Neurospora crassa OR74A: one gene and its partner. The protein of the gene in region 1 purifies or fractionates together with the protein of each later gene. This does not show direct contact. Links are inferred from orthologs where the notes say so. Each region holds a gene or a part of one and is shown on either strand. Other genes may lie near its edges.

Region 1 (4,175 bases):
AGAGGCCAGCACTCTTTGTGGGATCCAGCTCGAACTTGGTCGTACCCTGCTTCTTGGAGTAGAACTGGCTCGTGATGTGATCGTACAGTGTTGGGTGAGAATCAGATAGAAGTAGATAATCCTTGCCCGGTGCATTCCGGAGGTGATCTTCTGGGCTCAAGAGATGACTTTTGGTCTCCATGGCAGCCAATAGACGAGGCATGTCGATGAAGGGAAGGAGGGCGACACCCTGCCAAGCCATCTTTTTGCCGTTGAGATCAATCTCGAAGTCATCGGGGTAGAAATGGCGGATCTCACTGGTCTCCTCTAACATTAAGGAGTGGAACACCTCAGGGATGGCATGACGAGACGCGGCCGGAAGGACGCTCATCAGTTGCTCAAATGGCCGCGAAATTCTGCCCTTCTCAAACTTGATCTCCATCTTGCCAAGATCAACAAAGTCCGCAGCGAACGGCGCGTAATGGTAGGGGTAGAACCACTCCCATGAGGGGCAGCCCTGGAAATAATACTCCAGAACCCACGCAAGACCTTCGGCATACGCACGGCCAACCTTGTGACGGAAATCAATGTCTTTACGGTCAACCTTGAACTTCTGCTCATAGTACCGGTCCGCATAGCCCTCTTCCCACAGCCTGACCGAATCGGTAGGCTCAGCATCACTCTCGCTGATCTCGGTCACCTCGGTACTGCTGGCCTCGGGACCAGCGACAGCATCTTCGATAAGCTCAGCCTTCCTTTTACCCAGGGCTGCTGGGGGAGCAGCTTGCTCTTCGGTGGCCGGGGCGGCCGCAGCAGTTTCAGCAGGAGTCTCAGTGGACTCAGCACCGTTCTCTGGAGTGCTCGTTCCTTGCGCCATCATGCTCTTGATCTGATCCTTGAGCACGCTAGCGGCACTCTTGTTGGCAACATTGGCCTGGTCAACCGCCTGGCGGTTCACCACCATGTCATGAGTGATTGATGGTTGCGGAGCCTTGCCCGGAAATTCGTTAATCTTGTGAAAGGAAAATCCAGCTGGCGGACCACTATTCTCAGCCGCCTGACGTATTTGCCTACTGCCTTGGGCTCTCCTTTGTCGGGCCTCATCGGCAAGCTTGCGCCTCTTGAAACCGGCCTCTCGTCGGTCTTCGGTTTCCTTTCTCCTCCTGAAAATGGCATCTTCCTGCTTGGCCAAGCCGGCCATGATGTACTGGACACGTTCAAGGTCCGCATGGCCATCTTTGGTCAAATATCCGCCCATTACGGGCAAGTTATCTTTCCAGATGGCCGTTAGGGTATCAATTCCGTTCTCCCTGATCTCCAATGCAGGCAAGTGAGGCAAGAAATCGTTTCCGACAAAGAAGCACATGAAAACCCAATCGTCGATGGCCCTTTCCAAGTTGAACTGGAAGGGAAGGCCAGGAACGTCAAGTTCAATGGCAAGGTACTCACGGAGAATGGAAACGTGGAGCCAGATAAAGGGCTTGAGAGGCACGACTGCGTCCTTCTCGTCGAACTCGCCATTCTTCTCCTTTGCCTCGCCCTTGCAGTTCATGGCGTCATGTCCCTTTTGACCGCAAATCTTGCACAGTCTCGGCCTGCTGTCTTGGGCAAAGACGTCTTCACGCAGAACACGGAAATGGGGCTCGTGCGTGGCTAAGCCAAGCATGATAAGGTCGGCGTCGAGTCCGTAAATGACATGCCGAGTATTGGGGTCATGGTTGGGGGAACCACGCTGGGAGCGGACGAATTCCATGATCTTATGTTCACCCTCACCCGGAACGGTGGCGTCAGAGATAATGACCTTGATGTTGGCCCAGGCAGGATCGGTATTGAGCTTATAGGAACACCAATACCTGAGACTGGCAGCCAGGATGTCCATGAAGGGCGTACCAGGAGTGATGGAGTTGGAATCGAAAGCCTTCTTGACGACGACCTCTACGGGTTCTTCCTCTTGGGGCTTGCCGTTCTGTTTCTTGAGCAGCTCGACGAACTTTTGCTTGTCTTCCTCCTTTTCCATGGCTTCCCGGGCAGCGCGAAATCGTCTGGACCGTTGCTGGTTCATTTTGGCTCTGGGGGCAACGCCGTCTGTGGTGAAATTATGTTAGTCCCGTTTCTTAAATCAAAGTAGGGCGACAGAGATGGTGCGAAAGAGAGATACGCACCAACAGCAATCATGAGAAGCTTCCGCGGGCGAACCATGTTGACGACGCGATCGGTGTACTTGAAAACCTCGACCATCATCTCTTCCTCGTCCTTGGGCGCGGGGCGGTCCTCGGGGTGAGAGCAAGGATGGACGATGCCGTTCATGTCGAGATACAGGTTGTCAAACTCCTCGCCATTGGGATTTGGCTTGGTCGCGTCAACAGGAATGACGGTGCCATCGGGCATAGTAATCGGCTGATCCTCGATGACGGGCGAGATGATCTTGGGATACTTGGTGGACAGCCACCTGAAAGCCGCCGGAATACCCATCTTGCAAAGGCGATCGAGTGGTCACACGAATAGCACTTGTAGGGACGGTAGTTAAAATGTGGTTGGCTATAAAATGTAGTAGGTAGTTGTCGCGAGAAAGATCGGGGGTAGTCGCTGAACGAGATGGGTGGTTCGGAAAGTGAACGTAGTGGGTTCTTCAATTCGCACCGACGGAAAGCGAATAAAGGAATGTTGATGGAAGCAGACTGAGGTATAAGGTCGGTCGAAGGGATCGGATGTATGGGCAACAAAAGATGCTGATGCACAACACGCGCAAGGTGACCGCAGATAGAGCCACCAAGGTTCACCTCAAAGTGCACTGTGGAAACGGCGCAGCAAGATTGAGGACACGCCTTGTCGAAAGCCCAATTCAATGAATCCGGGCTAAATTGACACAGCAAAGCGGTCCTTGCAGCAATGCCCGTTGGATAAGACGTGAGCGATTGCAGAAGTGGTGATGGAGTGGCAGTGGGATGAACTGGGGAGAGAAGGACGAGACCGGAACAGAACGCCGAGCTCTGACATGCGAAAGAATTCAAGGGTTCAACGAGTGCCAAGACCATGCGGCAAGGGACGATAAGCACTGATAAGACCAATGACAACGCCACAGCAGCCTGTTATCGGCTTATCGAAACATCACATGACGCTCTATGATCAACAGTTGTGCGGGCTAACAGAGCACGGTATGATTGAGGCGCAGGAACCGTAGAGGTACACACACCCGACATTTACTTATCCGAAAGACTACCTATACATAGCATTACATGGAACTGCACGATTATATACCTATCATAGTACTTTCCATGAGTCCCGAAACGACCCTAACCAAGGTATGAAATGATAAATACTACTACCTAGAGGTGTAGGTATCTAAGGTACTTACCATGCCTTGATGATTGCCAATTGTTGCGCGGGCTGGACTTTTCGTATGAAAGGACCACCTGTCCCCTAGTTTCATTCCGTTGGCCTCCGTTGGTTGTATACCTACTAGCCACATGGAAGCAACTAGGTACATACCTACTTCCTGGCTTCGTTTGTGTGCAGCGAGTCGGGTGGTTGTAACAAGGCGGGCCCTTCCATTTTCCAATCGTTTTGTCCGGGTACATCCAAGATCCAACGGAACCTCAGAGTGCTAGGTAGGTATACACTAAGCTACAGGTGCAAGTACCACTACGCTCGCTATAGCGGGACCACACAGGTACCTACCCCTGACTGACACCCCGACGACGCAAGAGGTGGTGATCCGACACCTCTTAACCCTCGAGCATGCGCGCACCCCGCCGTACGCCATGATCCTCCAGTCCCTCCCTCCATGGCATCCAAACTAGTCCACTACCTCTATCCTCGAACATGTTCTCGACCATTACGGCGGCGCCGGCCAAGCAGTCGGTGAGCGAAACCATTGCCGTCCTCAGCGGCCGTCTCAACACCGCGACCCTCCTCGAAGACCGCCGCGCCGCCATCCTCGGTCTGCGCAGCTTCTCCAAGCAGTACCCGGCCTCAGTAGCCTCTGGCGCTCTACGAAGTCTCATCGGGAGTCTGAGCAGGGATGGCGAGGATGTCGATACGGTCAAGGTCGTCCTCGAGACCCTGCTGATGCTCTTCAGCCCCAACGAAGACAGCCCCGAAGCTTCAGAGGAGATTGCGCTCTGGCTCGCCGACGAGTTCACCCAGCGCCAGGAGAACATCACGCTGCTGCTCGATCTGCTCGACACGACCGACTT
Region 2 (3,283 bases), on another chromosome or scaffold:
TCCAGATATCGCGAGTTGGTGACGCATGGGGCCGGTAGCACAAGGAACAAACTTGGAAAGAATGCAGCGGTTGTCCCGGAGAACCGCTTCGGCGATGTTAGAAATTGTGTCGTGCGGACCAGCATCTCGCCTCTGTCCTTATGGTCTGGGACAAAGTTGAGCACCAAAGAAAGGCTGATGATGTCAAACTTCTCCGACTCGTCCTTCGGCAACGGGCGCTCCATGAAGTCCTGCTCAAGAATCCCAGGCTCTTGGCTGTTGAGATCGATCCGAGTGATGTCGAAATGGTTACTTTGAGCACATGCGTTCTTTGTACTCAGCGCTCCAACTTCCAGCATGCGCAAGCGGCCTTCCTTATACTCCTCGGATGAGAGGTACGGCCCAACCCACTCCATGAGCACGTTGGAGCTGTCGCCGCCTCGGTCATGTCTCTGCCCCTGGAGACTTGCTTCCTGATATTTCTCGATACCACCCAAAGCCTCGATCTCCGCCTCAATTGCCGCGACCTGTGTGTTATCGTTCTTCTTCATAGCCTGCACCTTCCTCTTCTCTAGGAGATGGAGTTTGTTGATGATGGATTTCGTGGTTTTCCGCGCAAGTGACTTGGGCTTTGTGACCGTGGGCGGACGGCCTGCTGCCAGGTTTTTGACCACTCCCTTTTTCTTAGGTCGCGTAGCCATGGGCGGACGCCCAGCTGCAAGGTTCTTGCTTACTCCTTTCTTGGGTGCCATAGTCCTTCGTCGCGTGCTATGCTGTAACAAGTATATAGCCGCAAATAGTCGATCTTGTCGATACTGTGATCCGTCTCGGTGAGATTGGTTTTCGATTTCGATTGGTGGTTCGTGACACTGTAGTTAGCAAGACAACTACACCACGTCCTTGTCTGGAGGTCGTGATAGGCACAGAACAGCGAGGCTTGGAGCTGTGAAAATCCAAGGTGTCCTGCACCGACTTCATCCGACAGACCACGAGCAGAAGGAGGAAAGCTGGATCGGAGGGCGCATCATGACCTTCAAGGTTGAATGACGGAGTGCGTAGCGATAAAGTGATGATCGGAGGTCGAGATTCAAAATACTGTGGAGCATATTTCGCGAAAGTGGATATTCTGGTGTGGTTCAGAGCCCGTTTGCGCCAGTTTGCGCAGCTCAACCCCTGCCAGTACCACTTCAGCCACACTACCAAGCCACACAAATCCCGCGCGCACACTTTTTCCTCCCCCAAATTTTGGCCAAAAAGTGAACTTTCTCCTCTCCGACAACGACCAGCGAGAATCCCGATTTCTTAGCCCGACGACAGCAGAAATCGCAGCAATGGCCCCTAAGGATACCAAGAAAGGTACTTGAAGAAACCTCAAAATCTCACCAGCGACGATTCCACCAAGAATGAATTGAACGGCTCGACAAATATGCTCGCCCCGCGCACAATGCGGATCCTCCGTGTCGCGCAATGGCATTCGGAGGTGATGCACCAAAGCAGCAGCAGACTTTGCGAGTTTGGACAAGATTCTGGCATCATCTTGCTCCAGGCGAATGCTTTTGCTGACGAGGGACTCTATGGATAGGCGGTGCCTCTAAGGCCGGTAAGGGCGCTCAGGCCAAGAAGGCTGCCCAGGCTGCCCTCAAGGGTGTAAGTTTGCGACGACTCGCGATCCCTTCCCCCCTGGTGACGTTCTGATGCTGATTAGAGTTCTTTTTCTCTGTTTAGGTGCACTCGCACAAGAAGACCAAGGTCAGATACTCGACCACCTTCCACCGCCCCAAGACTCTTCAGCTGTCTCGGGCTCCCAAGTACCCTCGCAAGTCGATCCCTCACGAGCCCCGTCTCGATGAGCACAAGGTCATCGTCCACCCTCTCAACACCGAGGGTGCCCTGAAGAAGATCGAGGAGCAGAACACCCTCGTCTTCATCGTCGATGTCAAGGCCAACAAGGCCCAGATCAAGCAGGCTCTCAAGAAGCTCTATGACATTGACACCGTCAAGATCAACACCCTGATCCGGTTAGTTTTGGTCCCTATGGACCGGCATTAATATGGTTCTTGTTGCTAACTCCACTCACAGCCCTGACGGTTCCAAGAAGGCCTTCGCTCGCCTCACTGCCGATGTCGATGCCCTCGACATTGCTGCCACCAAGCTCGGCCTTGTCTAAACTAGCGATTTCATAGCTATGGGAAATACACAAGATTCGGGATAAAAACTATCTTCAAGGGATACATGGGTTTTACTGTTTAACGAAAAAGAAGTCGGCGTCTGATACCCCTTTGGCGTTTGGTCCATGGCATGGAAATGAAAGTTTTTATAACTATTCTGCCCGTTCCATCAGACATGACCAAATGGGCCATTATCCAAACTCCTCCCTTGCAAGCCATAGATCTACTTGCTCTAAGACTTGAATCTGACATCTTGTATTCTTGCTATCACCATGGACTCATTGTCGCATTGTTATCTGCACTTCTATAACCAATTATCCTGCACTGCGCATTGGGTCTGTGTTTGAAGATGAAGATGAGTATCCCGCTATCGCGCGCTCCCATATCATGCTACAAGAACCGCCTGTCATACTGTCTAAGTTCCTGAACAAATTCCCATGCCCTATAAACCCTTTTCCCTTCCAGTTCTACCTTTGATCCTTCCCCTGTCCCATCACATATATCGTACAAGCCTTCAGGCGTAACCGTAACAATTCCTCGAATGACTGTCTCTTAGAATTGTGACCAGAACCTCAATCGCAAGCCCTATCGCAGGGATCAACAAAGGTTCCCTAGCAAAGGGTGCTTCTCTGTACCCCCGTTCCGTCGTAGTAAGCCCGAGTGTACCAGACCCAGCCAGAACCACCATGAAAACAAGCGTCGGATACCTCGGCCGCATCCTCCAAGTCTCCCAAGAAGCCCACCAAGCAGGACCAGCCAACCGAAAAACGTAGCCAGCCAGCCCCGCGGGACAACCAGTTCCTCAAGGGAAACAAGTCACCGTTTTCGCCATCCTCCTTCCTCTGCCTCCTCTTTTCTTTTTGTCCCGTTCTCATCTTTTTTCCTCCTCCTGATAAGCATCCTCCCACGCCTTCCTATCGGCGCGCGAGACCTACTTGCTGCCACCCCTGGTGATCTTTTGCACGTGGGCCATGATGGTCAGGTTGACGTCCAGGAAGCGCTCAACGCAGTCCGCCATGCAGACGGCCTCGGTCTTGTCGAGCTGGTTGGTCTTGATGGGGGAGGTGACGCATTTCTTCCAGCAGGAATCGGTAAGGGCGTGGGTCTCTACACGTGGGAGGTAGCATGTTAGTTTA

Evidence for each region. The genes of interacting proteins can lie anywhere in the genome.
Region 2: the proteins of NCU01643 (region 1) and NCU06226 purify together in Saccharomyces cerevisiae (affinity purification with mass spectrometry; 3 studies listed by BioGRID). This does not show direct contact. The link is inferred for Neurospora crassa OR74A from reciprocal best matches to the Saccharomyces cerevisiae genes RAT1 and RPL25.

The regions. Positions count from the first base shown.
Region 1 is NC_026502.1:2,830,040-2,834,214, reverse strand, and holds the start of NCU01643 (5'-3' exoribonuclease 2), read right to left. Parts: upstream 2,947-4,175; 5' UTR 2,452-2,946; coding exon 2,142-2,451; intron 2,065-2,141; coding exon 1-2,064. Other genes in the region: NCU01644 (intracellular protein transporter UsoA), read left to right, coding at 3,802-4,175. UniProt on the Saccharomyces cerevisiae protein: Possesses 5'->3' exoribonuclease activity. Required for the processing of nuclear mRNA, rRNA and small nucleolar RNA (snoRNA) precursors.
Region 2 is NC_026503.1:1,965,014-1,968,296, reverse strand, and holds NCU06226 (60S ribosomal protein L25), read left to right. Parts: upstream 1-1,134; 5' UTR 1,135-1,310; coding exon 1,311-1,335; intron 1,336-1,561; coding exon 1,562-1,626; intron 1,627-1,704; coding exon 1,705-1,997; intron 1,998-2,058; coding exon 2,059-2,146; 3' UTR 2,147-2,637; downstream 2,638-3,283. Other genes in the region: NCU06227 (hypothetical protein), read right to left, coding at 1-731; small zinc finger protein Tim8, read right to left, coding at 3,079-3,254. UniProt on the Saccharomyces cerevisiae protein: Component of the ribosome, a large ribonucleoprotein complex responsible for the synthesis of proteins in the cell.